4 linked regions of the Arabidopsis thaliana genome follow. The protein of the gene in region 2 purifies or fractionates together with the protein of the main gene of each other region. This does not show direct contact. Each region holds a gene or a part of one and is shown on either strand. Other genes may lie near its edges.

Region 1 (7,315 bases), 3.7 Mb from region 2:
CACAGAGAGCTCAATGTTCTTCCAATATCGTTATTAATAAATTTTGATTAAATTCAATCAAATCGGAGTTATATTACCACATGAGGTTAAAGGGCCATATTAAAAAGTCTGCACTTCATATGAGCAACAAGGCTTTTATGTCTTTATGGTTGATTTGATGGCCCATATATGATAGTTCAAAGGCCCATATTAAAAAATGCCCTAACATGATTCGATTCGTATATAAAGACGCTTAATGTGACAAGCGAACTTGCTCATTAGGGTTTCTCATCTACGACGGCGTGGTGTTCCTCCTTCCTGCTCTGAAAAATGGTGAAAAACCTAATCCTTTCTTTTTGTTATTGTTCTTGAATCTCTGTAATTCCATAGCAAGTTATTCGAGTATACTTCCTTCTGTCTCGTTCTAGCTTTCGTTTTGAGATTTCAAGTTTCATAGTTGATCTGTGGATTCTGATAGAAGTCTAGTTTTGTGATTTTGTCTTTTGACTCTATTACTCTTTTTCGATGTTTCACAGGCGAAGAGAACGAAGAAGGTTGGAATCGTCGGCAAATACGGTAATGTTCCTGACTCATCTCTTATTGAATCGCTTAGGATGTTAATGCTATCGAAAATAAGGATAGGATCTGCAAATTTGCTTAGTCTTGTAGCTCATTTTAATGGAGTATATTAACATGTATCGTTCATTTTTGATTACATGTTGTCAATATGTAATGGATCTGTCTACACTGGTTTCATATTGCAATTCGTTCTTCATTTTGGGGTCTAAGTTGGTTATTATATGTATTGTGAGTTCTCTTCCTAACGTATGTATGGTTATGTGATTCAGGAACACGTTATGGTGCGAGTATCAGGAAGCAGATTAAGAAGATGGAGGTCAGCCAGCACAGCAAGTACTTCTGTGAGTTCTGTGGCAAGGTATGAAAGAGATTAACATTCAGTTACTGTTTTCATTTCTAAATCTCTTTTGGTTTTGGATTATTGTGGTAACTGTGGTTTGATCAAAATGATTGCAGTACGGAGTGAAGCGAAAGGCTGTTGGTATCTGGGGTTGCAAGGATTGTGGCAAGGTCAAGGCAGGTGGTGCTTACACAATGAAGTAAGTGATTTCTGAGTTATATTTGTATTAGCTTTGTGTTGGTTATCAATCAATGATTTGTTTTCTGATGAAATTGTTTTCGTTTGTGAATTGCAGCACCGCCAGTGCGGTCACTGTTAGAAGCACGATCAGAAGGTTGAGGGAGCAGATCGAGGGTTAAAAGTCTGCTGGCTTTTTATATTTGGTTTCCTTGTTTTGACAATTTAAGTTTTGCAAACTCTATGCTTGTGATTTTGAATCAAGACTTATACATTGAGCAGTTTAAGCAGGTTTTTATTTTTTGTTGAGTTAATTTTCAAAGTTTCATTACCAATAGTTCTAGCTATATAACCTAAAGTTAGGCTTGAGGTTTTGAATGTTTGATCCTATTCAACACCTAATTATAAATCCTTGAATCCTGATCTAATGTGATGTTTCTTATACTTTATTTTGATCAGCACTTCTTTAACCCTATAACTTGGTAACAGTATTCGCACGAGTCTTTACAGATCAAAATTTTTAGAGTTTGATGTGTGTTTTCAAAGTGCTTTACTAGAAATCCTTACGATAATACAATCTATAACTGAGTGTACTAAGTTTAATTACACAAAAGTCGGTGAATAAACAAATACTAACGTTACTGGTTTTTATGTCTGGCAATGATCTCTTATAAAATCTATATATTGACTTGTTTATATGCTTTTGTGTCGTAATCATCCTAAGATATTGGTCCCTTGAGTGTATTTTAATGGCCATACATGTCTCATTATGATCTTTGATGAAATTGATTGATCTAAGTTATACTTCAGTTGAAATTTATGAGTTTTACATGAAATTAGAAAAACGAATAATAATCCAACAGTTCAAAACAAAATCCAACTAACTGGGGAAAATCTTTTCGGAGACAACAACAAGACCCAAGTGTGTCGTTCTTTTCCCCCAATGAGCCAGGCTGTTGCACTTCTAAGTTTTCTTGGAACTTCATGAGATTCTTTCAAGATTCCATCTTTCAACTTCAGCTCTCATCCTCTAACCCAATGGTTGATGTATGCTCCAGTCACCGCAGCTATCGTTTCAGTTGCTCATCCGGATGCAATTACAGAGCCACTAAATGTATCACCATTGAGAATGCAGAGCACTAGTATCATGGTTTGTGTACCTTGAAGCCAAAGATTTTTGGGACATAGCTTTGAGTAGGCTTCTGCGGCTTTAAGTTCCCGTAAGTCATCAAGAACAAGTGAGGGAATGTGGTTCCAAAGTACGCTCCATCAATATCTGCACAAGTCATTTAAGGAAAACGCTAAGATACAATGACACTCAAGATCAGAGTGTCTCAACTGAAGCAAAATCAGACCTAAGCTTTCACTGAAATATTGAAATGGCAAAGCCAAAATTATGGATTATGAACAGAGAAAAAGGATACTGCCTTGGAATTTAGATCGCGGGTAAGATATATCCTCGCATTTAGGGCAGTATATCTTCACAGTACTCGATCTCGGGATATCGGATTGTCCAACTGGAAGACAAGACTGACCGCAACAGAAAACTCTCGGGCATCTCCCGAAATCACAGTTCTTGTACTTCTCAGTCTACAGAGATCAATAAACAAGAGACGTCGTTAATCAAATAACGAAGCTAAAAGCACCAAAACATAAACAAAAGAGTAGAGAGATTCTCTCACTAACCATTGCAGCCATTCCTTTAGTAGTCAAAATGTAACGAACATGAATAAGACCATATAGCATCTCAGCAGCTGATTCCACCATTTCATGCTGTTCATCAGTAAACATCTCACCTAAACATAGATACAAGATTTCAGACCAAACTTTACTAGCTCCTTATTAACAAAAAAAGAAAGAAGAAGAAGAAGAGAGATGACTTACTGTTGGAAGCATCAACATCTAAAATGAGATCAAGTGCATAATCATAGTAAGGGACTTGACCACTTAAACCACAAAGATTGAAATCATCTTGAATATAATCTTCATCGACTTCACAGAAGAAATCATTCCCTCTCAAATTACAAAACCAAGAGATCCACGACGTATCATCACCCTCCGATCCACTCACATCAGACCCTTCACTATCAGTTTCCGATTCCACTGCAACACCAAAAAAAAAAAATCATCAGAAAGAAAGCAATTAACCAACAAAAAGACTCACAGATGTGAAAAAGAGAGGAACAAACCATCAGGAAGCTGAGTTTTAGTAGATGTGAAGGAAAAGGGATCTTTGTCTTTAGAAGAGAAAACCCTAGATGTGGTGGTGGAAGTTGAAGATTTCTCTAGTTTCTTATTGAGTGCATCGTTGATTCGTTTCCGATCAATAGCTCCACCGAGGATCTCTGATCTCGATGACCCACCACCACCTCCTCCACTACGTTCCTTGTACATAATTCGATTCCTTCTCCAAAAAGACAAGAAATTTGGAGATTAGATTCTCGAAAGTGTCAGACTTTCTGAGAAGCTTGAGAGAGAAAGGAAATTAGAGAGACGGAGAAATCTAGGGTTTTCTTCTTTTTAATTTTAATTTTTTTAAAAAAATTATATATAATTTTGGTAACAGAGTGGAGGACAGGACATAGGCGATGTAAAGATGGTCTCTCTTTCTCCTCTCAACTGTTTTGTTTTTTTTTGCTTTCCAGTTTTTGTTCTTTCTATTTTACAATGGGCTTCTATAATTGGGCCTTGTGTTAGCTAAAGTCAGTTTAGTCTCATTGCTTGCTTCCATCAGAAACGACCAAAACAGATGGGCCACAGCCCACATAAGATGAAATCCATAAATCGTGAACAAACATGACAACCAACAAGATTACGATTTTTGGAATTAGAGTACATATACATGTTGGAACTTGGAAGATGCATTGGTCAACGGAGCTAGACCTGACAAAGGTCTTCGGATAATAATAATATCGTAAACATTAAGGAAACTTTTTAATTTTAAAAAATCGGACATGAAGAGCACGAATTGAACTCTATACAAAATCTAGAGTTGAATCGTGTTTCAGAAACTGAAGGTACACGAGCTTGTGGTGGCGTGGTGCACGACTCTGCATAAAACTCATTATATTATCTATTCAAAATCTAAGCATTTGTTTCAGACAACACAAGTTTCATTTTTAAAAGATCTCGACTTACGACAAAAAAAAAAAAAAAGATCTCGACTTTTTTTGTTAGTTAAATACTACAATAGTTTGAGAAATATTTTGTATTTATTTTATTTTTTTTAGTTTGAGAAATATTTTGTATTTCTTCGTTTGTGTTCAAGTAAAGTTTGTGATCCACGTTTATATACAAAATTGATAGATAAAAATTGGACTGGCATATCATGTAATATACACACCCAAACATAATTTTTGGGATCTAGAAACATTTGCTTGCAGAACGGAGCCTTTGTCGGAGAAAGTAGTCATGCCTCGTTACAACGACTTTTGACAATTTCCCAAAAGTTTTATAGAAGTTGTAAATTTAATACTAGTAGTTGTATATTGAAATTTTATTTTTGCATTAAACGGTAAGGATCTACTAATAATTGACATGTTACTAAGTGAATGTCTAATCACACGAACAAAAAGAAAAGGCAGTTTACACGCGGGTCGGCTATATTTGAACCATACCGGTGATAGTATTGGCCCACGCCTTAATGAAATTGTCGCACCCATGATACCGTGATCTCACTTATGTGGTTAGCTTTGTAAGACAACATTATTACTCTACATGCTATATTATCTTACTCGGATTCGATGTTTTGTTTTATTAAGAAAGTAAACAAAAACTAGATTGAAAGCTAACCTTTAGATAGATTTTATTAAATAAAGTTTAATTTCGATAATGCATTTCCAAACTCGAAGCGTCACTAGTTGCAAACGGAAGTGTGGCACTAAGACTTTACTAATCATATAATTCTGTGAGATTAGATTTCAATATTTTGATCAGGTAATTCAAAATTTTGTTGTTGCCTAACCATTCCTTAACCGCTCAGCTATTTTGAATGTGTTAACAACCAAGTAGATCTTTGATTTTAAAGTATAACTTTCTAATGGTTGGTTAGTATATAGAAAAAATGAAAACAAATAACCATAAGTTAATTATGTAATTCATTTCGAATTACTATTGTGTTACAGCAATATTCACGATGTTCACAACAGTAGAAAACAGAATCTTAAAAAGATGCTTAAAAATAGAGAAGATTGAAAGATAATAATAAAAAAAATGAATTAGAAGATTGTCGTTGACGTCGTCCGACTTAAATACCGATGACCGCACGAGTCATTATTTTCCGTTACTAAGCTTTTGATAGCGACTGAACAACACGCGCCAGATCCTTTAGTTGTAAATCCCCATTTTTATTTTCTTAAACCCAAAGAAAGAAAAAAAAGAAGAGAAACGGCCGAATCTTCATAAATTCCGCCATCTGTTAAGCTCAATCGCCGCCTAAACTCCGGCGACTCTCTCGGTAGATCTCTCAATCCTAACTGTTTTCGTCTATCTCTCTGTTGTATCTAAAAGCAGCGACGCCGATTTGTTCGTTTTCCGGCGGGTACATATAGTATGATTATCTCTGTTTAGGTGTTTTTGATCAGTTTCTCATGATATGGATTCGCATTGCGTCTCTGTTTGATTCAGATTCCGAAAGTTCCGATTGATTCGATAACTTGTATTTGTTGTTTGTTTCTGCATTTGATAGAAGATATTTGGTGATTGAGGTGACTCGGAAGAGAGTGAGAGAGAGAGATGGATGATAGAGGAGGATCGTTCGTAGCAGTGAGAAGGATTTCACAAGGTCTAGAACGAGGAAGTGTTTATCATTCTTCTTCTGGTAAATTTCATCTTCACTTTGTACGATGATTCTTTCTATTTTTTTTGCTTCTTCTGGAACAAACGCGTTTTCTCATCATTATACATCTCTATCTCTATTTCTCTCTCTCTCTCTCTCTCCCACTTTTTCCACGTTTTCTCTTTCTCTCTGTGTATTCGCTGGCGATTGCCTTTTTATCTGAGATTTAGTGTCGCAGATCTACCTTTCGCCATTTGCTTTTTCGTTGCTCTTTCTCATAAATTCGTGGAGTTTTTGTTATGTGTGTTGATCTTCTTTGTAAGTCCTATTTTTAGTATTTCCCATACGAAATTGTTTGCGTTGATTTCTCTAGTTGAGATTAGTCTTCTTCCCTGCAGATTCCATTTCTCTTTTTGACTATATTGCTAGTTTGTTTTTCCATGGAAGCATGTTTTGCTAAAATCTTTTGTTACTTGCTTCGATTTTGATAGTCAATAAGTTGAAGCTAATGGATGATGTGTTCTGGAATCTTTGATTTTTCTTTCATCGTTCTGTATTTTGACAAGTCTGATGCTTAAATGACATTGTATGCTTCTCACGTATTAGTTATCGTATTTGTAATATAAAAGTCAGCTAAAAGATGTTTGACTAGTCACCCTCTTGCATTAAGAAATCATTTCTTTATCAAAAAACATCACAATTCTGATTTTAATTTTATTGCAGCTGAGGTTGTAGCTGGATCGGCAGCGTGGTTAGGCCGTGGCCTTTCCTGTGTTTGTGTTCAGGGTAGAGACGGTGACCCTCGTCCTTCATTTGATCTAACGCCTGCTCAGGTACCATTTTCCTCTTTTTTAATTGGTTTACTTTATAATGATTGCTTGTTTCTCCTCTCATATTAGCTGACTTCTGGTTAGTATTTTTCAAGTAGTATATATAACTTGTATGATCCTTATTGTCAATGCTTGCAGGAGGAATGCCTGCAGAGGTTGCAAAGCCGCATTGATGTTGCTTATGACAGCTCAATACCTCAGCATCAGGTATGCTTTCCTTTATGGGCTGTGTTTGTAAGGACTGCTCACAACTAACTTGTTCCATAAATTAGATGGTCTCTGTTTCAAGTTTACCAGCTCTTCAGTTTTACTGTATGCTAGCTTCATTGGTCAAAACTCTACCTGCGTTTACATAAATATATTGTTTGCTATTTCATATGTGTGTAGGAAGCTCTAAAGGATCTTTGGAAACTTGCATTTCCTGAAGAAGAGCTACACGGAATTGTATCTGATCAGTGGAAGGAAATGGGTTGGCAGGGAAAAGATCCATCGACAGATTTTAGGTAACGTCTCATCTCATTGTCATTATCCTTGGATTTTCCCACTTCAATTGACTCACAGTAGAGCATCTGGCAGGGGTGGTGGTTTTATTTCTCTCGAAAACTTGTTGTACTTCGCTAGGAAATTCCCGGT
Region 2 (7,658 bases):
CTTCTCTAACGACTCATAAAGAGATAGTTTCATAACAACCACGCTGATAGGGAAGACGTAAACGTTCAAATCTCTCTGTTGTATAATCAAAACTGAGTAAGAATATACCGAGCTGTTCCTATTTATCTTCATCATAAGCAAACCAGTAAGTGTTTCCCTTCAAAAGATAGGCGGTAGTCAGAATTTATGAAGTGGCAGTCCAGAGTGTGACATCATGATTCCTCCATGAATTAGAGTTCATATCATCGATTTGGAATTCTTGGTCGTCACAGTTTTAGTTCTTATAGCTAAAATATCTTGTAGCTCTTATTGCCAGATTTGTTGTCTTGGTACTCCGTTGGTAGTATCCAAGAACAAAGGTTAAATTCTGATTTGAGTCGACTCTGTTCTCATCACTTTCTCGAAATTAGACTAGTAAAAGTAATAAATAATATTCAAAAGTCCACATCCAAAACAAGATTCAAGATTTTCAAATCTTGATGAAAAAGAAAAAACAAACAGCAAATATTACACGAAATGGCTGGAAAAACTGGTTTTAAACAGTCTGAGAATTGTTTTGTTTTACCTTAGTAACATATTATTTTAGAGGTCTCGACGATGGACCAGAGGTAGCAACAGCTCTTTGAGCACGCTGCGTTTCACCGCAATACAGCATCTTTGTCTGTTTCTTAATTATCCTTGCTTCTCGCTTTTCGGCTTTTACAGCATTTTTCCGCTCTTTCTTCTCTTCTTTCGACTCTTGACCATGAGTCTTCCTCTTGATCGGTTCAGCTTTTGGGATTTCCGCTTTGACATCGGTTTGTTCAGCTCTCCTACCAGGTAAAAACTCGACAGGAATCCTCTCTCTCCCTTGGAGATTAATGATTCTTCCATTTGAACTCAATGCGTTAGCTAATGTTTCACTCAGCTTCTTCTGCCTAGCTGACTCTGCAGCAAGGATTTTACCAGGGAGGTTATCGAGATTCGAGTATGTTGAGACTATGGTTTCACAATCATGCTTCTCGCTTTCATCGCTGCTTTCTTCAGTCAGCTCTACAAATTCATCTTCATTCCCGTTATCAAAATTTTCACCATATTCTACAGTTCGGCGGATAACATGAGCAGCAGTGTCCACTTCCTCTTTATCTCTGACAGAGTCACTGTTCTTCAGTATATCCGCAGGGTTCATATATTTTTCTTCAAGCTCATAATCTTTTGCCTTCCCATGAATAAGATTCTGAACTTCTTGAGCCATGAAGTCTTCTTCTTCTTCTTCTTCTCCATCTTCAGCTATGTAACCATCACCGTCACTATCACTTCCATATTCATTGAGTTCGAGCTGATCAAATAGCTCATCAATTTGACGAGGAACTCTCGGGTTTTCAGCCACAGGTTCATCACTTTCTCTTTCTCTAACCTCACGTCTTACAGAAAACTCGAGCTCTCCATTGCTCACACCAGAAGATTCACCCTTTTGAGTAAGATTAGCTTGAACAACAAAATCTTCTTCCAAATCCTCAACATCAGAACCAAACTCAGACCCATCACTGTTTTCAAGCAACGCAGCAACTTCAGGATCAATAGCTTTCTGCACCTTGACGTTAACAGTCTTGGACGCAACACTATACATCAACTTATTATCATTACCTTCTTCATTCACCATACCAGAGATCTTCACACGAGACGCATCATAAGCCTTAACATCACGAGGTAACTGAGCAACCTCATACTTAGGATTCACATAGAAATTAGAACCACCACCAGTATTCTTAATCTCTCTCAAATGCTCCAAGTAATTATAACCATCATCAGGATACCCTAACTCTAAAATCTCCTTCCTCACATGAGCAGGTAAAGAACTACTCGAATCCCCAAAACTAGAGTAACCATAATCCATCTCTTCAGGAGCATCATCAAACCGTGAGCTGTCTCCTTCTTCTTCTTCATCTTCTTCAATGAAACCATTGATGTTAACAGGGTTTTGATCAACTCGTAAGAAGATCTTATCACCACCTGGTGCATCACTGTATCTTGGGTCTGACGTATCACGAGGACACAACTCGAAAGTCGCCGCCTTTTTCTTATCAATAAACTTCTTCTTCCCCATTACTTACTAATTCACACCTTCTTAAGGGTTTTGCAAACTGTAAAACAATTACGAAGATATAAGATGTCTAACTTCTAAGTCACAGCAATCAACTAGACTATGTTTCAATCCTGACTAATAAAATGTAAATTTTTATCATCAATCAACACGAAAACATCGAAAAGGGAGAAACTTTAAGTCTAGAAACGATTCAAAAACACTAATTTAATGAAATTGAAGAAGCTTACCTGAAGAGTTTGAGAGAGAGAGGCGGAGAACAATGCAGATGAAGAACAAAAACGCTGTTGAAGATTTTTAGTTTTAGGGTAGAGCCACCCAAAACGCATCATTTTAGGGTTTAACCAAAACGCTGCGTTTTTGTGTTAAGCAAGCCAAAACGCGTCGTTTTTGGCAACAAGTCAAATTAAATATTTGTTTTATTTCCATAACTCAGTGTATGCCACTAAAAGAAATAATCCACCGCGGGAGAGTGCACCGAATGGTTACATGCACCTAATCTTCTTCTTCTCCTACTTTCTTCGACGGTACCTGTTGTTATTGTGCGCCATCTTGATCTTACGTGCGCCGTTGGCGCATTCTCTTATACCACCATTAACGTGCGTCAACACCGGAACCGTTGAATCAGACGTTACTGGTATCAGGTTCGATCGTTGCCTCGATACCGATTCTCTCGCCAAGATCTCTCTTTCCACCGTCATGTCGAAAGCTCGTGTTTATACCGATGTTAACGTGATCCGACCTAAGGATTATTGGGATTACGAATCTCTCAATGTTCAGTGGGGGTAAGATCGTATTTTTCGAAAATTATGAAAACCCTAGGAAGCTAATCAGTTAAAAAAATTGGATCTTGTAATGTAGAAATTGAGCTTTTTGTCTAGCTGGCGATGTTCTTGGTTTTTAATCTGGTTTTGAGGAGAGTTTGTTGGTTATTATGATTATGATCATGATGGGTGATGATGCTTTTGTTAAAGTTTTGAGCTTTTTTATGTGGGTTTCGTTGTCAGGGAGCAAGATGATTACGAGGTAGTGAGGAAGGTGGGGAGAGGGAAATACAGTGAGGTTTTTGAGGGGATTAACATGAATAACAATGAGAAGTGTATTATCAAGATTCTCAAGCCTGTTAAGAAGAAGAAGGTGAGTGTCTATATTACTTCAATTGGTGACTTATGATTGATAGCAATGAATGGTGTTGCTTTTACAAAAGGTTTTGTCTTTACTTAGTTTTGATTTTGGGTTGCCTTTCTGAATTTGTATGATCCTTTTACAGATTAGAAGGGAGATTAAAATACTTCAGAATCTTTGTGGAGGGCCAAATATTGTAAAGCTGCTTGATGTTGTCAGAGATCAACACTCAAAAACGCCAAGCTTGATATTTGAGTATGTAAACAGCACAGACTTTAAGGTTCTGTATCCAACATTGACTGATTATGACATTCGCTACTACATCTATGAGCTGTTGAAGGTAATTTTAATTTATTTTATGTAGAGTTTATTATTTCATTACGACTTCTGATTTGTGGAATTTTCTCGGTTCCACAACAAATTTAGTTCAGTGATAACCTTGCAAATTTCCTATGATATGCTGCAGGCTTTGGACTTCTGCCACTCACAAGGAATAATGCACAGAGATGTCAAGCCACACAATGTCATGATCGACCATGAGCTGCGCAAACTTCGCCTAATAGATTGGGGTCTCGCTGAGTTTTATCATCCTGGAAAAGAGTACAACGTCCGTGTGGCCTCAAGGTATGTATGATAGGCGCCTTCAAGATAAGTTGGTTTCCTATCCATTTTTAATATTTAGTCGTTATCAGTATCTAAGCTTGATCAAATGTTGTCTCAGATACTTCAAAGGTCCCGAACTTCTAGTTGATTTACAGGACTATGACTATTCCTTGGACATGTGGAGCCTCGGTTGCATGTTTGCTGGGATGGTGAGTACCTTGCGAAATGCTAGGCTTCCAATGCTACATTTATATATGATCATTCTTTTCAAAAAATTTCCAAAATATAGTATCGTAATGATGAAGTGTCTAAATTATCTTTTCTTGTAGATATTCCGCAAGGAACCTTTCTTCTATGGCCATGACAACCAGGATCAGCTCGTCAAAATTGCCAAGGTAATCAAATGCGTGGGTAAATGTGGGAATTTTAGAGGGATTGAGTGTTTTTTCACATCTTTAGAGTGTATGTTTGATTCTTGACTCAGGTACTCGGAACTGATGAATTGAATGCATATCTGAATAAGTATCAGTTAGAACTTGATACTCAACTAGAGGCACTTGTTGGGAGGTAAGCAGAACTCACATATTCTCTCTATAGTATAAGAGTAGATTAAAGCAGTGCCAATGACCAATCCTCTTTCCACAGACATAGCAGGAAGCCTTGGTCCAAATTCATCAACGCTGACAATAGGCATTTGGTCTCACCTGAGGTTTGTTTACTTTGTTCTCTGTATTCTATAAGAAACACAAACGCTTTTGTTTGTTGCCATGGTTTCTCTCTCGAGCTGTAACTTTGTTTTAAATGTAGGCGATTGATTATTTGGACAAGCTGCTCCGGTATGATCATCAAGACAGATTAACTGCAAAAGAAGCAATGGTAAGTATCATATAACGTAACTCAAACAAGTTTTCGTTCTCATAGTCTGCTAAATTGTGATGGTTTTATGAATTGATGACAGGCTCATCCCTATTTCGCTCAAGTCAGGGCAGCAGAAAGCAGCAGAATGAGGACTCAATAGAGATGTCTCGGCCGATTTTTGTTTCTTCTTCTTCTCCAGTGTGCTCTTTTGTTGTTTACTAATACATTTTCATATCCATATGGATTTCTTTTATAATGTCGAAATTATGGATTTATAAATATGAGAATTCTTATTACTCCCTCCGGTTTCTTAAAAGTTTGTGTTTTGAGATTTTTGACACTTTAAAAAATTATTTACAGTACCAATATGAATCTAGACTAAGTTGTAACTTGTAACGAGGCTCAGATTACACACACATGCCTTGTTTGTACACAATTATGTGTCTTTGATCATTTTGATCTACGTTATGTTTCCAAATTGATATTTTACTGAACTTGTATCTATACTTATTGTTCCCCAGCAGTAGTTATGAAATTATGAAAAACAACAAGCGTTCAAAAATCACACAGATGCAAAGCAAAATACGATAAATCACAACAATATCGAAACATATCAGTGTTTTACTTTCAATACAACAAATGAAAGTTCTTATAACTTGGAAGACTAATGGCCACCAAGGTAGATCACCTCTTTACTTTTAGTAAGTAAACATGATCTGGAACAATATTCAAAACCATTGCACTGGAAAAATGTTTTGTGTGGACAACGCTTCTTGCAAATAAAGCAAAAAGGTCGAGACATATGATGATTGTTTGGCAGAACACTTACCTCTGCACCGTACTTGTTGAACCATTTTGAACCGGGCTTCATGTAGAAGTCCACCCCAACCAAGCATTCAATGTGTATGGTGACACAACAATACTCATCACAACTATAAAACCGCTCCTTTGGATTTAATCTTTCCTCACAAATTTCACACCAATAAGTCATGGTACTTGTCTTGTCCCCATAAGAAAGAGTGAGCACATGCTTATCATGCTTATACCTCACCTTTTGAGCTAAAGTAGCACACTCAAAACACAAAGCAAAGTCGCACTCCTCGATGCAATTGAACGTTTCCTTGGTGGGACAATGCCCTGACTTCTTGCAAACCGAACATTTTCTTTGCTCTTCGTCTGGTTTGGATGTGAGGTATAAAGGATGTATATGACTTGGATGATCTAGTGGCTCGGAAGCTATGGCACACTGCACGTGTAGATAAAAACATTTTCTGCACCGATAGAGGAAACCGACAGTACGCTTCCTAGGACACACCGAGCATTCATACTCATTGATCTCCCCATCACCGTATCCTGCCTCTAAATTAAGCTGATGTGGATGTATCGGATGATCTATTTTACGAGGAAAATTTGCGCATGTTTCGTGGAGATTATAATCACAGCTAGGCGTACACGAGTAGAAGTTACCAAAATAGATTGGCGTAATGCATATGTTACACAGCTTATCCTCGTCGTAATCTCTTCCCGTGTCCACATCAAGTCTCAAAAGATGACGATGAGTGAAATGTCGTATGACTCCACTTCCTTTCGTTGCAAACGGTGGATCTACTTCTTCCTCATTTTCTTCTGGCACTCCCTCAAGTTCTACACCATCCCACACATTTTTTTGTGTTGCACATCTTGAATGTGCCGCATACCAACAACCATTTTTGATACAAGAATAGCCTCCGTATAATTTGTTGATCTTTCTGCGACAAACACCACAAGACAAACCTTCTTTCTCAAACGAAGAAGTAAAATAGATACGATGGCTATGGCGAGATATCTTTATGACACGTGGTAAGTTGATACATCTTAGATGAGTCACAAAGTCACAAGGCGGACACATATAGATAGGAGAGCTTGGATCGGCCAAGGCGCAAAGGTTGCAAGTTAAGAAAGCTTGTCTTGGAAACAGAGCAAGAGGATGACCATGCCACTCCGGACGGTGATGGTTTATCAAAAAGACTGGTGGTTTCCTCGCACAAAGTATACTTATAGCAAAATCGCAAGCCGAGCAATAATAAAGTATACGGCTAAGAGCTTCATCACAACAATAGCATTCCCTGGTACTATCTTCCTGCAACACGACAAGCTGGAGAGAATGATTTGGATGAAGAGGATGGTTGATCTCAACAGGAACATTGTTAAATTCTTTATGGTTATCGCCATTGCAACCTATGCAGATAAAATGGAGAGTGTCTTCTTCTCTTGATAACTTGAATGTCCGCCAGTTTACAGAAAGGCAATGCCACTTGTTATTGGTGCGCCACGAGACGTCTTCAAGAACACGAAATCTTCCGTTTTCCAGTTTTACTTGTGCTTGAGGGCACAAGGAAATATACTCCCCCGAGTTTGAGTTCATAGAGACGACGAGGGAGAGTATTTGATGAGTGAGTGAGATAAGTTCCGGCTCCGGTTTGACTTCCAAAGTTTCATCAATGAGAGAAATCTTTTGAGAAATGAATGATATTAGCTCCACCAGCCGCTTTGGCTGGGAATCTGAATCCCTAGAGTTGACTAGAGAGAGTATCTCTTGGATGAGTAACACTAGCTCATCAGACTCTGGCTTCTCCTCTGTAGTCAAATCCATTGAGCTGACCAGAGAGATTATTTTACCAAAGAGTGTTGTGGCTTCCGAGTCCAAAGCAGAGTTAAAGAGAGATAAATTTTGAAAAACCATTGACATGAGATCCGACAGCAGTTTGGACTGAGACTCCAAATCCATAGAGTTGAAGAGAGATATTGCTTGAGTAGTGAGTGACATGAACTCTGACTCCGGCTTCGGCTGCGAATCCAAATCCATTGAGCTGACTAGAAGGATTAGTTCGGTAAGCAATGGAGTGGCATCCCAGTACAAGTTAAAGTACTCGACAAACATTAGTTGAGTAAGGAGTGATAAGAGCTCCGACTCCGAATCCGGATCCGGATCCATAGTGTTTGCCGAGAG
Region 3 (8,162 bases), on a different chromosome or scaffold from region 2:
GATTCCGTTTGCTAGCTTATCAGTCTCAGTGACTCCTCTCATTAGAGTCTACACAAACAAAACTAAAGGGTTCACTTCATTATGCCGAAATGGAGCTCATTTATAAAAGAACAACCTGTGCTTAAGGAGGTAAATCCTCAGACCTGACATGAACATCCAACATAAGAACTAACTATGAACCTATAAAAGTGTTTTGAGAAGCCAATACGCACTATATATGTTCCTGAATTTACTCCTTTGATGATAACATTCCCAAAAATTACACCTTTACTTCTTCCAAACATGTGACAAGAACATAAAACCCTAATTCTAGCTAAATCACAGACTACCCAGAAACAAAAAAAAGGCTCCAAATGAATCAAAATGGACAAATATGGTATCATTATAACCGTAAGCGAAAAAATTGGCAAATTCCGATAGAAAAGTTAAGAACTTTGGGTTTATTTATCCTAGAAATTGGGAATCGCACCTGATAGACGATGATTCCGACAAGAGCGATGAGGAAGAAGAAGGAAATAAGCCATGTCCAGATATCTCCCATCTTCCTCCTTTTGGTTCCGACAATTTCCTCGGATCTATCCTCGTTGTTTCTTGGTCTTCTCTCTCTCTCTCTCTCCTCCCAATAATGTTCGATGAGGAACAGAGAGAAAGTTAGGACAACGACTTAGTGGTCGGCTAGTTTTGACAGTTGAGCTCGAGATTCTGATCGGAAACAAAGAAGCCTAGAGAAGGCAGGCACGAGACTCAGCTTCCGGTTCAGTTTCCGGTTAAAATCGAATTCGTTATTTCCCGAAGTACGTACCATTTACGCCGGTTTAATATTTCAGTATTATGAATCTATGATTTATAAGCCATTGGGCCTCTATAGATTTAGCCCAATTAAATAGTAAACAGTTTGGGTTTGGGCACGAGAGCCGTGTAATTTTTGTTGAGTCGTGTATAATTTTTTTTAGGTCATTGTCTTATTGTATAGTTTTAAGGAAATCAAAAATGAAAAATTAAAAACAAAAATGGTACCAGAAACCATTCAATCATGTGATTGAGAAAAGCCAGCTGTTTTCTAGTACGAAGAAAAACAAGCTTCATCTTTTCCATGTATTTTTCTTTCTTTCTTTTCTCAAGAACGGTGAATCCATAACTTATAATTGCAAGGATTAAGAGATTGAGATTATGAAGGATAGCATTTTGGAATTGTAATATGGTTTAGCTTAGTCGGATTTTCCTCACTAATTATAGATTCTGGCCTCTCTAGTGTGGTTCAATTAAGTTGTAAAATAAAGAAGCTATGTTAGTAACTAAATCCATCCAAGTTCAATAATCAAATAATTACTATCGCTATCAATGTAAAAGGTGGCATTATTTTTATTTCAACTATTATTATTTCTTACATGGTATATATATATTTATTTCGGGTATAACACGATATAGTGGAGTGGTTGGGAAAAGAAGTTCTCGTACAAGATTGTAAATCAAGCAATTTACGTTTGATACAGTAATAATCAATATCAGTATTTTTTTAACTGAAAGGATTGGCTCTTCGTTTTCACTAACTGGAAAATGAAGATTCAAATTTATAACATACCTATTTTCTGTCAACAGTTACTTATTTTTAGTTAATATATGCATTTAGGGACCAATCTTGAAATCTCATTCCACGTATGAAAAGTATCATGCAAAAAAGTATATATCAATTCTAAACATTTTATTTTCAAATTTCATTCACAAAATCAGCATTATTTTATTTAAGTGGAGATTAACGTAAGAAGTTACTTTGATATATTGTTACATTGTTTACATTGTAGACACCTTAAGTTAATAAAACGTATGACAAAGTGATGTTATTAATAGTTCTCATCACTATATTGCAAACGTCGTTTATCAAAAAATAAAATTAGAGGGCATAATCCATGGTTTTTGGGTGGTTGGTATGTAACAGACAAGATCATTCTTATAGATAGTACTATCCATCTTTTTAAGATAGGACTGCTCTAAATTATGTGGTAAGAAATTAATTTTCTGCCTTTTTATTATATAGATACAGTTATGGGTGGATTTTGTATATTAGACTTTAGAATTCATTGATCATTCATACATATAAGCATGCATACATGATACTTCTACATTAGAAGGTGGGAGACAGTTGTGACATGGATTTTATGACATTAGATATTGACCAATTAAAACTTGACTCCTACTAACCTCCACTTATAACTTTAATTATACGTTTTACTAAGAGAGATTTACAAGTTCAAGTTCAAGACACTTTTTGCATTGGAATAAGAGTAGAAAATCAAGGGTAAAATATAGAAAGACTTATGTGTGTGTGTGTGTATGTGTGTGTGTGACACATAAGAAATAGTCTTTGTTGTGGTTAATTAGCTGGAATAGTTGATCAAGAAAATGTGTTTTTAATATTCATTAGTATGAGTTTGTTCGCATTGATATGGTTTTATAGGTTGTATTAAATTATTCATAGATCAACGACATACTAAAGTAAAATTCTAAGTTTTTGGCTATGAGTGAAAAGCATGTGTACTTTGTTGGACTGCTACAGATTGGTTGGTATTTAGCTAAATGTGTCCATTGGCCAGTAATTTTATTTAGGTAAATATTGGTCCTCAGTCATAATTTTATTTAGTGTGTGTTCATGTTTTTTTGGGTTTTTACTTTTAACTAAAAAGAGGTAGAAGTTGTGAAGAGTACAAAGGATGTTGTTATTCATGAATCATGACTTCAAACTTCTAACGACGGCCAAGACACACATGATTCATGAACATTCATACAAAGCAAATGAAAGCAAAATTGCTATTGAGATTAACAAAAAGTAAAAAAATGGTTGGAATTAGTAGGAACCAAAAGTGTCGGTAAAAAAATGGAAGTTGTAAAAGGTTGCAGTCAAAAATAAACAACTTTCAACACAAACCAAAAAAAAATATTTACAAAGAAATGTACTTTATGAGTCAACAGAAAATGGTCAACACAACACAGTCTCTGCGTTAATGTCTTTCATTGTCTATCTAGAAACAAAAATTAAATTCTCACTCTACCCTTTTATGCCCAAATTCTGAACTCATCCCACGTAGACAATAGGACACAAATGGAAATCCCACTCACCCATTTTTTTCATTTTTGTAATCAAATCCAAAAAAAATGTTCAAAAAGTGTCTTCAACGTTCACATAATCTCTAACTAAATTCACAATAAGGATTCTATAAACCGAATTAATCATTTAGATTTTTTTAAAAACTCAGCCTATGTTAATAATTCTTTTTTTACCAAAACTTAGAGCCTTCAAAATTCTCAAGATCCCAATTTTGTTTTTTTATCCGTTCAACTGAAGTTACGAAAGTACATTACCATTGGTGGTTGAAACTGTATAGCACAAGAAAAACATTTATAAAGATTAAGAAGAGAAAAAATCTAAATAAAATGCATTAAATTAAGGTCCCAAATAGTTCCAATTTTTTTTTCTTTTAAATATTAAAGTAGGAGACAAGAAAAGAGATTTTCGAAAGAAAAAAAGAAACAAAAGTTGAAAGAAAAAAAACACACATAACAAAAACAATCCCCCAAAACCAACTTAAAGCGCGTGACTAAAACGCTCCAATGATGAGAAAGCGAGATAGACTACGAGCCAATGTAACGTTTGTGTTCTCGTACGACGTGGGACTCTCTTCTTTCACCTCCATGCGCGTGTGCTTCAACCTCCTCTGTAACTCTCTCTCTTTCTTCCATATTTCTCTCCTCTTCTTCTCCGCTCTGTCTCTTTCTTCGAAAAAACCATTCACAGTCAAGAACAAGAGCTCACTAGAAAGAAAAAAAACTAAAGAAGTGAGTAAAAATTTCATTTCTTCTGATCGCCGGAAAATGGCAGCGACGTTAAAGATCGTCGTCTTCCGGCGAAATCCTACTGCTGAAGAATGTCACACGTAAAATCCAACTCTCGCTTAAAACCCTTTTAGCAAGAGCCTCGAAATTTCCGATTTAGAAACTTTTTTTCTTTCTTGATGGCGACGACTAACGCTCACACGGCGACTCAACAGACACCACCACCACCACCTCCTCCTCCTCCAGCTCCTGCTCCTCCGGCGATGGATGGGTTAACAACAGACGAGCTAACAGCAAAAGCATTAAACAAGAGATACGAAGGTTTAATGACGGTGAGAACAAAAGCAGTGAAAGGTAAAGGCGCGTGGTATTGGACTCATCTTGAACCAATCCTCGTACGCAACACCGACACTGGTCTCCCTAAAGCCGTGAAGCTTCGTTGTTCTTTATGCGACGCCGTTTTCTCCGCCTCTAATCCTTCACGCACTGCCTCTGAGCATCTCAAACGCGGCACGTGTCCTAATTTCAACTCTGTTACTCCCATTTCCACCATCACTCCTTCTCCTACCTCTTCCTCTTCCTCTCCTCAAACTCATCACCGGAAACGTAACTCCTCCGGCGCTGTCACCACCGCGATTCCTTCTCGGCTTAACCCTCCTCCCATCGGAGGCTCTTATCACGTCACGCCGATAACCGTTGTTGATCCTTCTAGATTCTGCGGCGGAGAGTTGCATTATTCAACTCCTCCGCCGCCGCAGCATTTGATGCTCTCCGGTGGAAAAGATGACTTGGGTCCTTTAGCTATGCTTGAAGACAGTGTGAAGAAGCTTAAGAGTCCTAAACCGTCGCAGACTCAGTCTCTTACCAGATCGCAGATAGAGTCAGCTTTAGATTCTCTCTCTGATTGGGTCTTCGAGTCCTGCGGCTCTGTTTCTCTCTCGGGTCTTGAGCATCCAAAGTTTCGAGCTTTTTTAACACAAGTTGGTTTACCAATCATCTCCAAGAGAGATTTCGCCACCACGAGATTGGACTTGAAGCACGAGGAAGCCAGAGCAGAGGCTGAATCGAGAATCAGAGACGCAATGTTCTTCCAAATCTCATCGGACGGTTGGAAACCAGGAGAGTCCGGCGAGAGTCTTGTGAATTTGATTGTGAATTTACCAAACGGGACGAGTTTGTACAGAAGAGCGGTACTTGTGAACGGAGCTGTGCCGTCTAACTACGCAGAGGAGGTCTTGTTGGAGACGGTGAAGGGTATTTGTGGAAATTCACCTCAGAGATGTGTTGGGATAGTCTCTGATAAGTTTAAGACCAAAGCACTGAGGAATCTGGAGAGTCAACATCAATGGATGGTGAATCTTTCTTGTCAGTTTCAGGGACTCAACAGTTTGATCAAAGATTTCGTAAAAGAGCTTCCTTTATTCAAATCCGTTTCACAAAACTGTGTGAGACTAGCTAAGTTCATCAATAACACCGCGCAGATACGTAACGCTCACTGTAAGTATCAGTTGCAGGAACATGGCGAATCGATAATGCTTAGGTTGCCTTTACATTGCTATTACGACGATGAACGTAGAAGTTGTAGTAGTAGTAGTAGTGGTAGTAACAAGGTTTGTTTCTACGAGCCGTTGTTTAATCTTCTTGAAGATGTGTTGAGTTCCGCTAGAGCAATTCAGTTGGTAGTACATGATGATGCTTGCAAGGTTGTTTTAATGGAGGATCATATGGCTAGGGAGGTTAGAGAGATGGTTGGTGACGAAGGGTTTTGGAACGAGGTAGAAGCGGTTCATGCTTTGATCAAGCTTGTTAAAGAGATGGCTCGGAGAATAGAGGAAGAGAAGCTGCTTGTAGGGCAATGCTTACCTCTATGGGATGAGCTAAGAGCTAAGGTTAAAGATTGGGATTCTAAGTTTAATGTAGGGGAAGGACATGTGGAGAAAGTCGTTGAGAGAAGATTCAAGAAGAGTTATCATCCGGCTTGGGCTGCGGCTTTTATACTTGACCCTCTTTACTTGATAAGAGATAGTAGCGGAAAGTATCTTCCTCCGTTCAAATGTTTGTCGCCAGAGCAAGAGAAAGATGTAGATAAGTTGATAACAAGGCTTGTGTCTAGAGATGAGGCACACATTGCGTTGATGGAACTAATGAAATGGAGAACCGAAGGGCTTGATCCTATGTATGCAAGGGCGGTCCAAATGAAAGAGCGTGATCCGGTTTCCGGAAAGATGAGGATAGCGAATCCTCAAAGCAGTAGACTTGTTTGGGAGACGTATCTTAGCGAGTTCAGGTCACTAGGAAAAGTTGCAGTAAGGCTCATTTTCCTCCACGCTACGACTGGAGGGTTCAAATGCAACTCCTCTCTTTTGAAATGGGTAAACTCGAACGGGCGGTCACATGCAGCCGTTGATCGAGCTCAAAAGCTGATCTTCATATCCGCTAACTCGAAATTCGAAAGGAGAGATTTCTCAAACGAGGAGGATAGGGATGCAGAGCTTCTCGCTATGGCTAATGGTGACGACCATATGCTAAACGATGTTCTTGTCGATACGTCCTCAGTGTGACATTTGAATCTCTTTTTTGATCAATTTGATTTCACCTTAGTTTTTCATTAGAATTTGGCATTTCTTTAGGATTGTTTAAATTCATTTCTTTGATTTACTAGTATCTCATTCATACTATCATTAATATTCAATTTGTACTTGGTTTCTTTAGAAGGTGATTGAGAGTATTTGTATTTCTTTAGTCTATATAATATACCATCATAATTTTTCGATATAACATATGTGTCTATTTCAGTTTCTTGTCCTTATCATCGATGTATCGGTTAGAAGTTAGAAACTCTAATTAATGACAGCTTTTGCTTCTTCGTCTCTTGGTACAATAGTGTAATGATCCCACTCGCTTTTTTCATCGGAAATTCATATTCTTAATCATGACTTGAAAACATATCTTTACTTTTCGAGAGAAAATGACTTAACTTTTGAAAGTTTAATGTTCTTTCTTCATGATAACGTTTGTTGTTGGCAATGACAGACTAAAGATGCATATACTTTTGATATCTTGAGTTATTGAAGAGCAAAACCTGATTAACGGGTTTCAATTTAATTTTAACCATGATTATGATTATGAGATTATCTATCTATATCAATCTATTAAGTCTTTTAGAAGAACAAAAATGTGGATCCCCACCATGAAAGCAAGTTTTTCTTGGCTATTGTATACAAGTTCATTTTAAAGCTGTAAAAGGTGAAATTGTGAGATTGTAAATGTGAAGAACCCTTTTTGATGTTTATAAATGAAACCTTGTTAATCTTTTTGTAGCAAGATGTGTGATTTACCCATGATTTTTTTACGGCTATGAATAGTTGGAAAGGTTAAAAGATTTCTTCTTTATTTATGAGCCCATGGTATTGTACTTTGTGGGGTATTTAAAAAACTGTAACCCATGATTTATATTCTTGTAAATCATAACTTTATCAATAGTACCACAAATTTTGAAATCTAGTGGCAAGATTTCATAAATGGACTGACCGGACAGCTAAAGTGAAATTACACAAATTAAGTAAGAACAGTGAAAGCAAAGAGAAAACAAACAATTATTTCGAAATAGTAAAGAGAAATACAATTATTTAGATGCTATTTTTCCATTTAAGTTACAGACAAATAGATAAGTCAAGTACCTCTTCTTCTTTTTTACACACATGCTCATACACACACATACACACAAACAAATATGTACGACATTCTAAAACACTGTTATATTTAATAAGTAAGTTTCATACTTATGTATTGTTAAATAATAAAGTCGAATCTATATATAGGTTACTGATTGAAGGAAATATAGGTTTTCACTTAAATTATTTAAGAAGGAATCATTTTCATTGGAGTGGTAATTTGTAACTATGCTGAACAAGAGGGGAACCCTAAAAGTAGAAATCAATAATTAAATTTTATACCCCACAAATAGCAAAGTATACTACTTTTTTCTTTTATATACACTTTTTTTTTTCTCATTGTAAAACTTTGAACTTTCTAGCATGCATTATATTCACTTCGCCCACCTCCTCGAATAGTTGATCTTTAAAAAATCAAAACTTAAATTAGGTAATAGTTATAAGAAAATCTTAGAATACATCGGCTTTCACTTTTATTACTACTGCATGTACATCATCATTTCAATGAAAATTAAAAGACACAGAAACACAAGTTTTTTTTTGTCAATATATTAAATAATATGAGTTCATATTTCGTGGAAATAAGAGGGTAGTGTAATTATGTACTCATATAATTACAACCTAAATAAAGTTGTTGTAATTATTGGTTTGGTATTTTCA
Region 4 (6,773 bases), on a different chromosome or scaffold from region 2:
GATTGTGGAAGTGCAAAATTTTAGACTTAAAGCATACGTGTCAAAATGAGAAGCTTACAGTTTTTTTAAAAGTGACTGTTGATTTAGTATTATTAGATTTAGTTGCCGCGAAAAAGTTTAATATATAGTGTTTTATGTACTTATTATAGGTAATGTTCAAAAAAATAGCCTAGACATCTATCGAACGTCTAGCTACCGTACAACGATTTTTTGAACATTGATTATAGGTAACTAAATCTACATATACATTTTTGCCGCCATTTTGTGAAATAAATCTTAGAGTTGGAACTTATTTATAATGGCTGCCACTAGCTTTTAATTATTGTTTTTTTTGCAATAAATTAATTAACAAGCAAAAAAAATTCCAAATATATTCTAATCCCATATATCACGCAGATTTCTCCAAAATTGAACTAAATTTCGGTAACTATTTAAAACAAAAAATGTTTGACAAACCAAAATACAATTGCAATCCCTTAAAATGAGCAAAATGCACCTAAATACATTTCTTATCAATTCACTAAATCTAATTTCTCCAAAATTTGAATTAGATTTCGACAAATATTTTTAAAAAAATTTGTTTGACAAACTAAAATACAATTGCAATCCCGTAAAATATTTATTTTAATTATATATTTAAATTAACGGTGTACCACTGGGTTTTTTTACGGGACGAGTTTGGCGGAACGGGTTTGAAAGAACGTTACTTAATAACAATTGTAAACTATAAAATATTTTTATTTTATAGATAGATATAATTTGCAAACTTTTATATATACTGATTTAAAAAAATAAATTATTTCTACGGTATAACGCGGGTTAAAATCTAATATTTAGATAATTTTGAATATCCAATATATATGTTTAATTGTTTATAGTAGTAATAATTTTTTTCTGCTATTGTTGTAATAAAAGAAATCTCTAAAACGTTTTAGTAGGAAAGAAAAAAAACGTTAAATGCATAGAAATAAAGTTGGGCAGTAAAAGGAAAACAACAAGACCTAATTAAGTTTGACATATATAACTCAGGCGGCTATTACATCTATAAATATGGGTAATATATCTATCTTGCTTCTACTCTCTCTTTTCACTTTTTCTCTGTGTCTATTTGTCTCTCCGTAAGAAACATTATGCCTTCATCTGATTCCACGATGATGAAGAAAGGAACAAAGCGCAAAATCGAAATAAAGAAACGAGAAACCAAAGAGCAACGAGCCGTGACTTGCTCTAAACGCCGTCAAACTGTTTTTTCCAAAGCCGCCGATCTCTGTCTTATCTCCGGTGCTAACATCGCCGTCTTCGTAACCTCTCCCTCCGATAGTTCCGATGTTGTCTATTCCTTCTCCGGTTACTCCTCTGCCTACGAAATCGCTGATTGTTACCTAAATCGCAAGCCTCCACCCAAGATTGTTAACCCGGCCGGATCCAAACTAGGATTTTGGTGGGAAGACCCTGATCTCTACCATTCGTGTGATGATCTCTCTGAGTTAAGCATTATCGAGGATCGTTTACAGAGAATGAAGAAGCATGTGATGGCTTGCCTTGAGAAGGAAGAAAAATCTCAACTTGTTTCTAGTTTCGACCAAAACCCTAATAGTACTTGTTCTCTCGACGTCGAGGATTGTGATGGATCTTCTTATTCGCAAATTGCTTCTACTTTTACTCCAAACTCTGTCAACGAGTATTGCAGCGATCAAACCTTTTCTTCTTTCCATGGCGATCAAAACCCTAACCTCTCGTCTCCGTCTTTTGATCAGGACTGTTACTCCTCTCTCTATCAGATCTGTGGAGAATCATCTTCACAAGTTGCTTCTTTTGATCAAAACCCTAGCTCCGAGATCCAAGGATTTGAAACAGAGGAAGAGATTAACCAAATCAATCTACTACTACAAGAAACACAAACAGAGGCCAATGTCAATTTGGATGATGAGATCTGCTTTTGGAATGATCTATCCAACGATGATGTGTTTGGTCTAAACAGCTACTTCGGTCTCGATAACACCAATGCAATGATCAACTTCGGAGATTCCGACTTTAGACGTCATGTCTGATATGATGTGGTTGTAATCTTCAGAACTTGTTCTGATTTTGTCTCATTGTAAACAGAGATTCTTGATCCAATTTAAGTTTTTGTAAACCTTTTTTCCTTTATTGTTTGATACTCTGATGTGAACCCTTTCGAAGTTGAAAGTAAATTGTTTGAATCAGTTTTGCAATTCCACTTACTAGTTTGTTGATGTTAAATTCAAGTTAGTGATTTGAATTTGGATTCTCAGAAAAGAAGAACACAGTTTTTGGAGCTTTTGCTTGTAATTTTACATGAGTTTTAGCCTTTAGCTGAACACTTTTTGATTCCTTAATGGTCATCTTGTTAGGTGATGTGTTTGAACTTTGAACAGAGTACTTGAGATTAATTTAAGATTATGTATGTAACGTAGATTAGATGAACATATTTATACCAACATTTTATTAAAAAAGTAACTATAATCATTTTTCGAATTAGTAATTAATTTTATAGTTTCTTTAAGGTAATCATATATTTTACAATTTGTATATTAAAATTAGCAGATCAAACTCTGTTTTTGATAGAGAATAAATAAACTTTGTTTTTGATAATCTTTTCCCTTAGAAGTAAGGTCGGTTATTTTGACATCTTTAAAAATTAATTGTATAATTCTTTTTAGAAATATACCATTTTAAGAAAATAAGAATAGTTTTTTTTTTAAAGGTTTTTTTTTAGTTTTTTGTGAAAATTATATTTTCACATGTTTTTTTTCCGTAACTTTTTAATAGAAAATCATATATTTATTTTCTTATATATATAGATCGTCGATTAAGAATCTCGAACCCTTATAGCAAATTCGTTGCTCCTCTTTTTTTCTTTCTCTAACGCAGCAGCTTTGCTTAAATCCTCTTAGGTATTTATTGAATCTTTCTCCGTTGTCAGTGGAACGTGGCTTCCAAGTATTAGTTTTTGACTAAGTATAGTTCTGACTTTGAGATGTTGAGTTGATTAAAGGGTTTCTCGTAATCTTAAAGATGCTCGTACTGTTTGAGACGTCAGGTGGTTTTGCACTCTTTAAAGTATTAGATGAAGGAAAGCTCTCTAATGTTGAGGTTATTTACCTTATTCATTCTCTTACTTTCATTGATCTTAACCTTGTCTATATGTGTCGTTTGTTTTTAATATTCTAAGTATGTCAAATTTGTTCTTGTAGGATTTGGGTACTGAGTTCTACTCTGCAGAGTCAGCTCGAAGGATGGTTAAGCTAAAAGCTTTTCATAAGTTTGACAACACATCTGAACTCCAAGCAAGGGTCTACACAAGTTTTTGAAAAATAACTGTGATGATGGTGAAATCTTAGCTGTGGCTGATCCAAAGCTTGGAGATATCATCACAGAGAAACTGGTGTGTATTTTGTTATGATCTTTTACATATTTCTGTATATATATGGCTTGTGTCTTACGGATTTGCTTCTCTCCTCTAGGACATAGAATGTGTTCACAACGATGCTGTTATGGAGCTGTTACGAGGTGTGAGAAGTCAGTTAACCGAACTTTTATCCGGATTGGATGATAATGATTTAGCTCCAGTGAGCTTGGAATTGTCTCACATCCTTGCTAGATATAAACTAAAAATCACCTCTGACAAGGTAGTCATTGAGTTCTCTGTGTTTTGTTTTACCCTTGCTTATGTTACTTTTCCCCTCTCATACTTAAAATGTTTTGTTAGGTGGAGACCATGATAATCCTATCTATCAGTCTGCTTGATGATCTTGACAAAGAGCTTAACACTTACACTACGAGCGTTTGTGAATTGTACGGTTTGCATTTTCCCGAGCTTGCTAATATTGTACAGGACAATATCTTATATGCCAAGGTGGTTAAACTAATGGGGAATCGGATTAATGCTGCAACGCTAGACTTCTCTGAGGTAAAGCCTTATTTACCATTCTCCTTGACTTTTTGTTTCCATTAAACTATAGTTTTGTCTTTATGAAACATCTTTCTGTGTCCAATGTCATCTCAGATATTGGCTGATGAAGTTGAAGCAGAACTAAAAGAGGCTTCTATGGTGTCTACGAGAACTGAAGTCAGTGACCTTGATTTGATGCACATCCAAGAACTCTGTGACCAAGTTCTTTCAATCGCTGAGGACAAAACTCTGCTTTGTGACGACTTGAAGAACAAAATGAACAAAATTGCACCAAATCTAACTGCCCTTGTCGGGGAGCTAGTCGGTGCTCGCTTAATATCTCATTGTGGTAGTTTATGGAACCTCTCAAAGCTACCATGGAGCACAATTCAGATTCTTGGAGCTGAAAAGACCCTATATAAAGCCCTTAAGACCAAACAAGCCACTCCAAAGTATGGTTTAATCTACCACGCACCTTTGGTTAGGCAAGCTGCACCAGAGAACAAGGGTAAAATCGCACGTTCACTAGCTGCAAAATCTGCTCTTGCTATCCGGTGTGATGCTTTTGGTAATGGCCAAGACAACACTATGGGAGTCGAAAGCCGCTTAAAGGTATTCTTCTCTCCCGCCCGATCCTATCTACATTTTTCTTCCTTCTTTGATGGTCTAATTTTTTTCGACAGCTTGAAGCGCGCTTGAGAAATCTTGAAGGAGGAGATTTAGGAGCATGCGAAGAAGAAGAAGAAGTTAATGACAAAGATACAAAGAAGGAGGCTGATGATGAGGAAGAACCCAAAACTGAGGAGTGTTCGAAGAAGAGGAAGAAAGAAGCAGAACTTGAAACCGTGGAAGATCCCGCAAAGAAGAGCAAACAAGAGGGTGTAACAGGATTATTACTCCTGATGCTTTTAATTTCTCTAATCTATTTCTTTTCTGTTAACCAGTTGCTATGGTAAGCCATTAGCTCAGATATACAAAATTATGCGTGAGTAACACGTCTAGTTTCTTGACGTTTTGTTAGGATCATGTTGATACTCTTTCAAAGTCATTCAATTCAAAAACGGTTTCCCTTGTCATTTGGTTCGGTAGACTTGACAAAAAAAATAATCAGTTAAAGATGTGGTTAAGACCAACAAATATGTTCACAAGAACGTAAACATCAAGGTTCTGTCGCTTTAGACTTGATTTACAAGTGGATTTAAACATGATTAATTCACAAGCTAAACATCCATAAGAGTTGGATAAAAAAAAAATCCAATTCCATAAATAAATGAAAGAGAAAAGTGGATCAAAAACAAAATCAAATTTGTAAAAAGGTTATGTGGCTTTGAATTCCATAACCTTTGAATCACTCAATCGAACCTATTGAAATTGCGATGCTACTAAGAGCCGGACCATAACACATGAACATGAAACATTACAGTGGCCCCCATTCTAAAGGGGCCTCAAAGAAATTTTATTTTAGTTATATATACATATATTGATTTTTGATAATGGGAGAAAATAGTTAGTTTTATACATATAAATCCTAAATAACTGTGTGGTCCAAAATATTTGAGAATATTATTGTACTTTTGTTTTTAACTCCAGAATTTTGTTTAAATTAGTTTCTATTTACTCTATAATTTTTAAGATAAGAGTACTTTGTTTTCGTAATTTAAATAGGGCCCCGGATTTCATTGATCCGGCTTTAGGCTCTAGAAAATGCCTTATATGTATGTTGAACAAAAATGCAGAAACCTTGAGATATCCATGATTGATGTAGAGAAAGCTCTGATGCAAAAAGTGTCACGCTCAATATTTACCTTTTTTGTGTGTTTTAATCTTATATCTTTACTCTATTAAGACCAGAACACTCTGTTTGCTTGAATAACAAACAATTTAACAATAACCAAATATTTTGTCATTTCGACATATGTAAGGAACGTGAGTTGGTTTATACTCTATAAGGAAAAGAGTTACCAATGAACAATAATTTCCTAATTAAAAATTAGTAAACGTTAAAAGTATTTTTTTGTCATTCCGACATGGCCTCGTTTTTTTCCTCGAAAATTTAGAAATAATCATATTATTTTTACTTACAAAATACATATATATATATATATATAGATATATATAACTATAGTTAGAACAACTATATTGTCGTGAATAGGTAAATTTGGGAATCGTGATGATATATAATTTGGATCCGTAGATTGTAGGTGATGCATTTTTGTACCTAATCTTTAATTCCAAAATAAGTGGATAGCTCTATATGAAATTTGGCCCTACTTTATTTGACATGACCTTTTAAATATTTGAAAAGCCATGAGACAATTTATTTAATTTTCATAACCGTGATAATAAAAACAATTTGTTTGTAAGAACAATTACATAACAACATTTATCTAAATTATGAGTCTCGTCGGCGGTATGTAAAATATGTTAATATTATCCTTTTTCTATGTAATAGAATAATAGATTATCTTTCTTGGTTGGCACTAAATTGCACGTTAAATACTTGAAAACTTTGTATGTTGAAATAGTAATCCAATTTTAACGAAACTTTTTATTTTGTAAAGATTTTGATGGGCTTTTTAAAACAATTTCTACGACGTGGACAGACTTTGGAGTTTGTATGATTAATTAGATTCAGATCCTCACGTAGATTGAATAAACAATAACTCAATAATTGATCCTTCTCAAATTTTAATAAAATAAAAACATTTTTTAATAATAAAATAACAACATTACAAAATACCAAAATATGTAGGGTAATAGTTTTTGCTAATATAGTTATTATATTATTACTAAAATATAAATTCACATGTTAATATTTGTTGTTGACAAAAACAAAAACAATGATATTACAAAAAAA

Evidence for each region.
Region 1: the proteins of CKA2 (region 2) and CKB3 fractionate together in Arabidopsis thaliana (co-fractionation; one large-scale study listed by BioGRID). This does not show direct contact.
Region 3: the proteins of CKA2 (region 2) and AT1G12380 fractionate together in Arabidopsis thaliana (co-fractionation; one large-scale study listed by BioGRID). This does not show direct contact.
Region 4: the proteins of CKA2 (region 2) and AT5G27140 fractionate together in Arabidopsis thaliana (co-fractionation; one large-scale study listed by BioGRID). This does not show direct contact.

The regions. Positions count from the first base shown.
Region 1 is NC_003074.8:22,268,494-22,275,808, forward strand, and holds CKB3 (casein kinase II beta chain 3), read right to left. Parts: upstream 3,681-7,315; 5' UTR 3,470-3,680; coding exon 3,265-3,469; intron 3,179-3,264; coding exon 2,960-3,178; intron 2,872-2,959; coding exon 2,762-2,871; intron 2,666-2,761; coding exon 2,500-2,665; coding exon of another isoform or gene 2,477-2,499; exon of another isoform or gene 2,352-2,476; coding exon 2,221-2,351; 3' UTR 1,777-2,220; downstream 1-1,776. Other genes in the region: AT3G60245 (Zinc-binding ribosomal protein family protein), read left to right, coding at 310-312, 516-555, 828-916, 1,015-1,097, 1,194-1,257; AT3G60260 (ELMO/CED-12 family protein), read left to right, coding at 5,810-5,894, 6,576-6,685, 6,821-6,889, 7,070-7,185, 7,259-7,313. UniProt on the Arabidopsis thaliana protein: Plays a complex role in regulating the basal catalytic activity of the alpha subunit.
Region 2 is NC_003074.8:18,531,915-18,539,572, forward strand, and holds CKA2 (casein kinase II, alpha chain 2), read left to right. Parts: upstream 1-2,535; 5' UTR 2,536-2,572; coding exon 2,573-2,868; intron 2,869-3,090; coding exon 3,091-3,220; intron 3,221-3,353; coding exon 3,354-3,548; intron 3,549-3,674; coding exon 3,675-3,832; intron 3,833-3,929; coding exon 3,930-4,020; intron 4,021-4,140; coding exon 4,141-4,206; intron 4,207-4,295; coding exon 4,296-4,378; intron 4,379-4,456; coding exon 4,457-4,520; intron 4,521-4,618; coding exon 4,619-4,687; intron 4,688-4,769; coding exon 4,770-4,829; 3' UTR 4,830-5,159; downstream 5,160-7,658. Other genes in the region: AT3G49990 (Low temperature viability protein), read right to left, coding at 578-2,086; AT3G50010 (Cysteine/Histidine-rich C1 domain family protein), read right to left, coding at 5,334-7,643. UniProt on the Arabidopsis thaliana protein: Casein kinases are operationally defined by their preferential utilization of acidic proteins such as caseins as substrates. The alpha chain contains the catalytic site.
Region 3 is NC_003070.9:4,212,726-4,220,887, reverse strand, and holds AT1G12380 (uncharacterized protein), read left to right. Parts: upstream 1-3,475; 5' UTR 3,476-4,007; coding exon 4,008-6,389; 3' UTR 6,390-6,630; downstream 6,631-8,162. Other genes in the region: AT1G12390 (Cornichon family protein), read right to left, coding at 470-541.
Region 4 is NC_003076.8:9,545,503-9,552,275, forward strand, and holds AT5G27140 (NOP56-like pre RNA processing ribonucleoprotein), read left to right. Parts: upstream 1-3,039; coding exon 3,040-3,117; intron 3,118-3,218; coding exon 3,219-3,263; intron 3,264-3,316; coding exon 3,317-3,409; intron 3,410-3,488; coding exon 3,489-3,653; intron 3,654-3,733; coding exon 3,734-3,934; intron 3,935-4,030; coding exon 4,031-4,528; intron 4,529-4,599; coding exon 4,600-4,872; downstream 4,873-6,773. Other genes in the region: AGL39 (AGAMOUS-like 39), read left to right, coding at 1,131-2,051. UniProt on the Arabidopsis thaliana protein: Required for 60S ribosomal subunit biogenesis.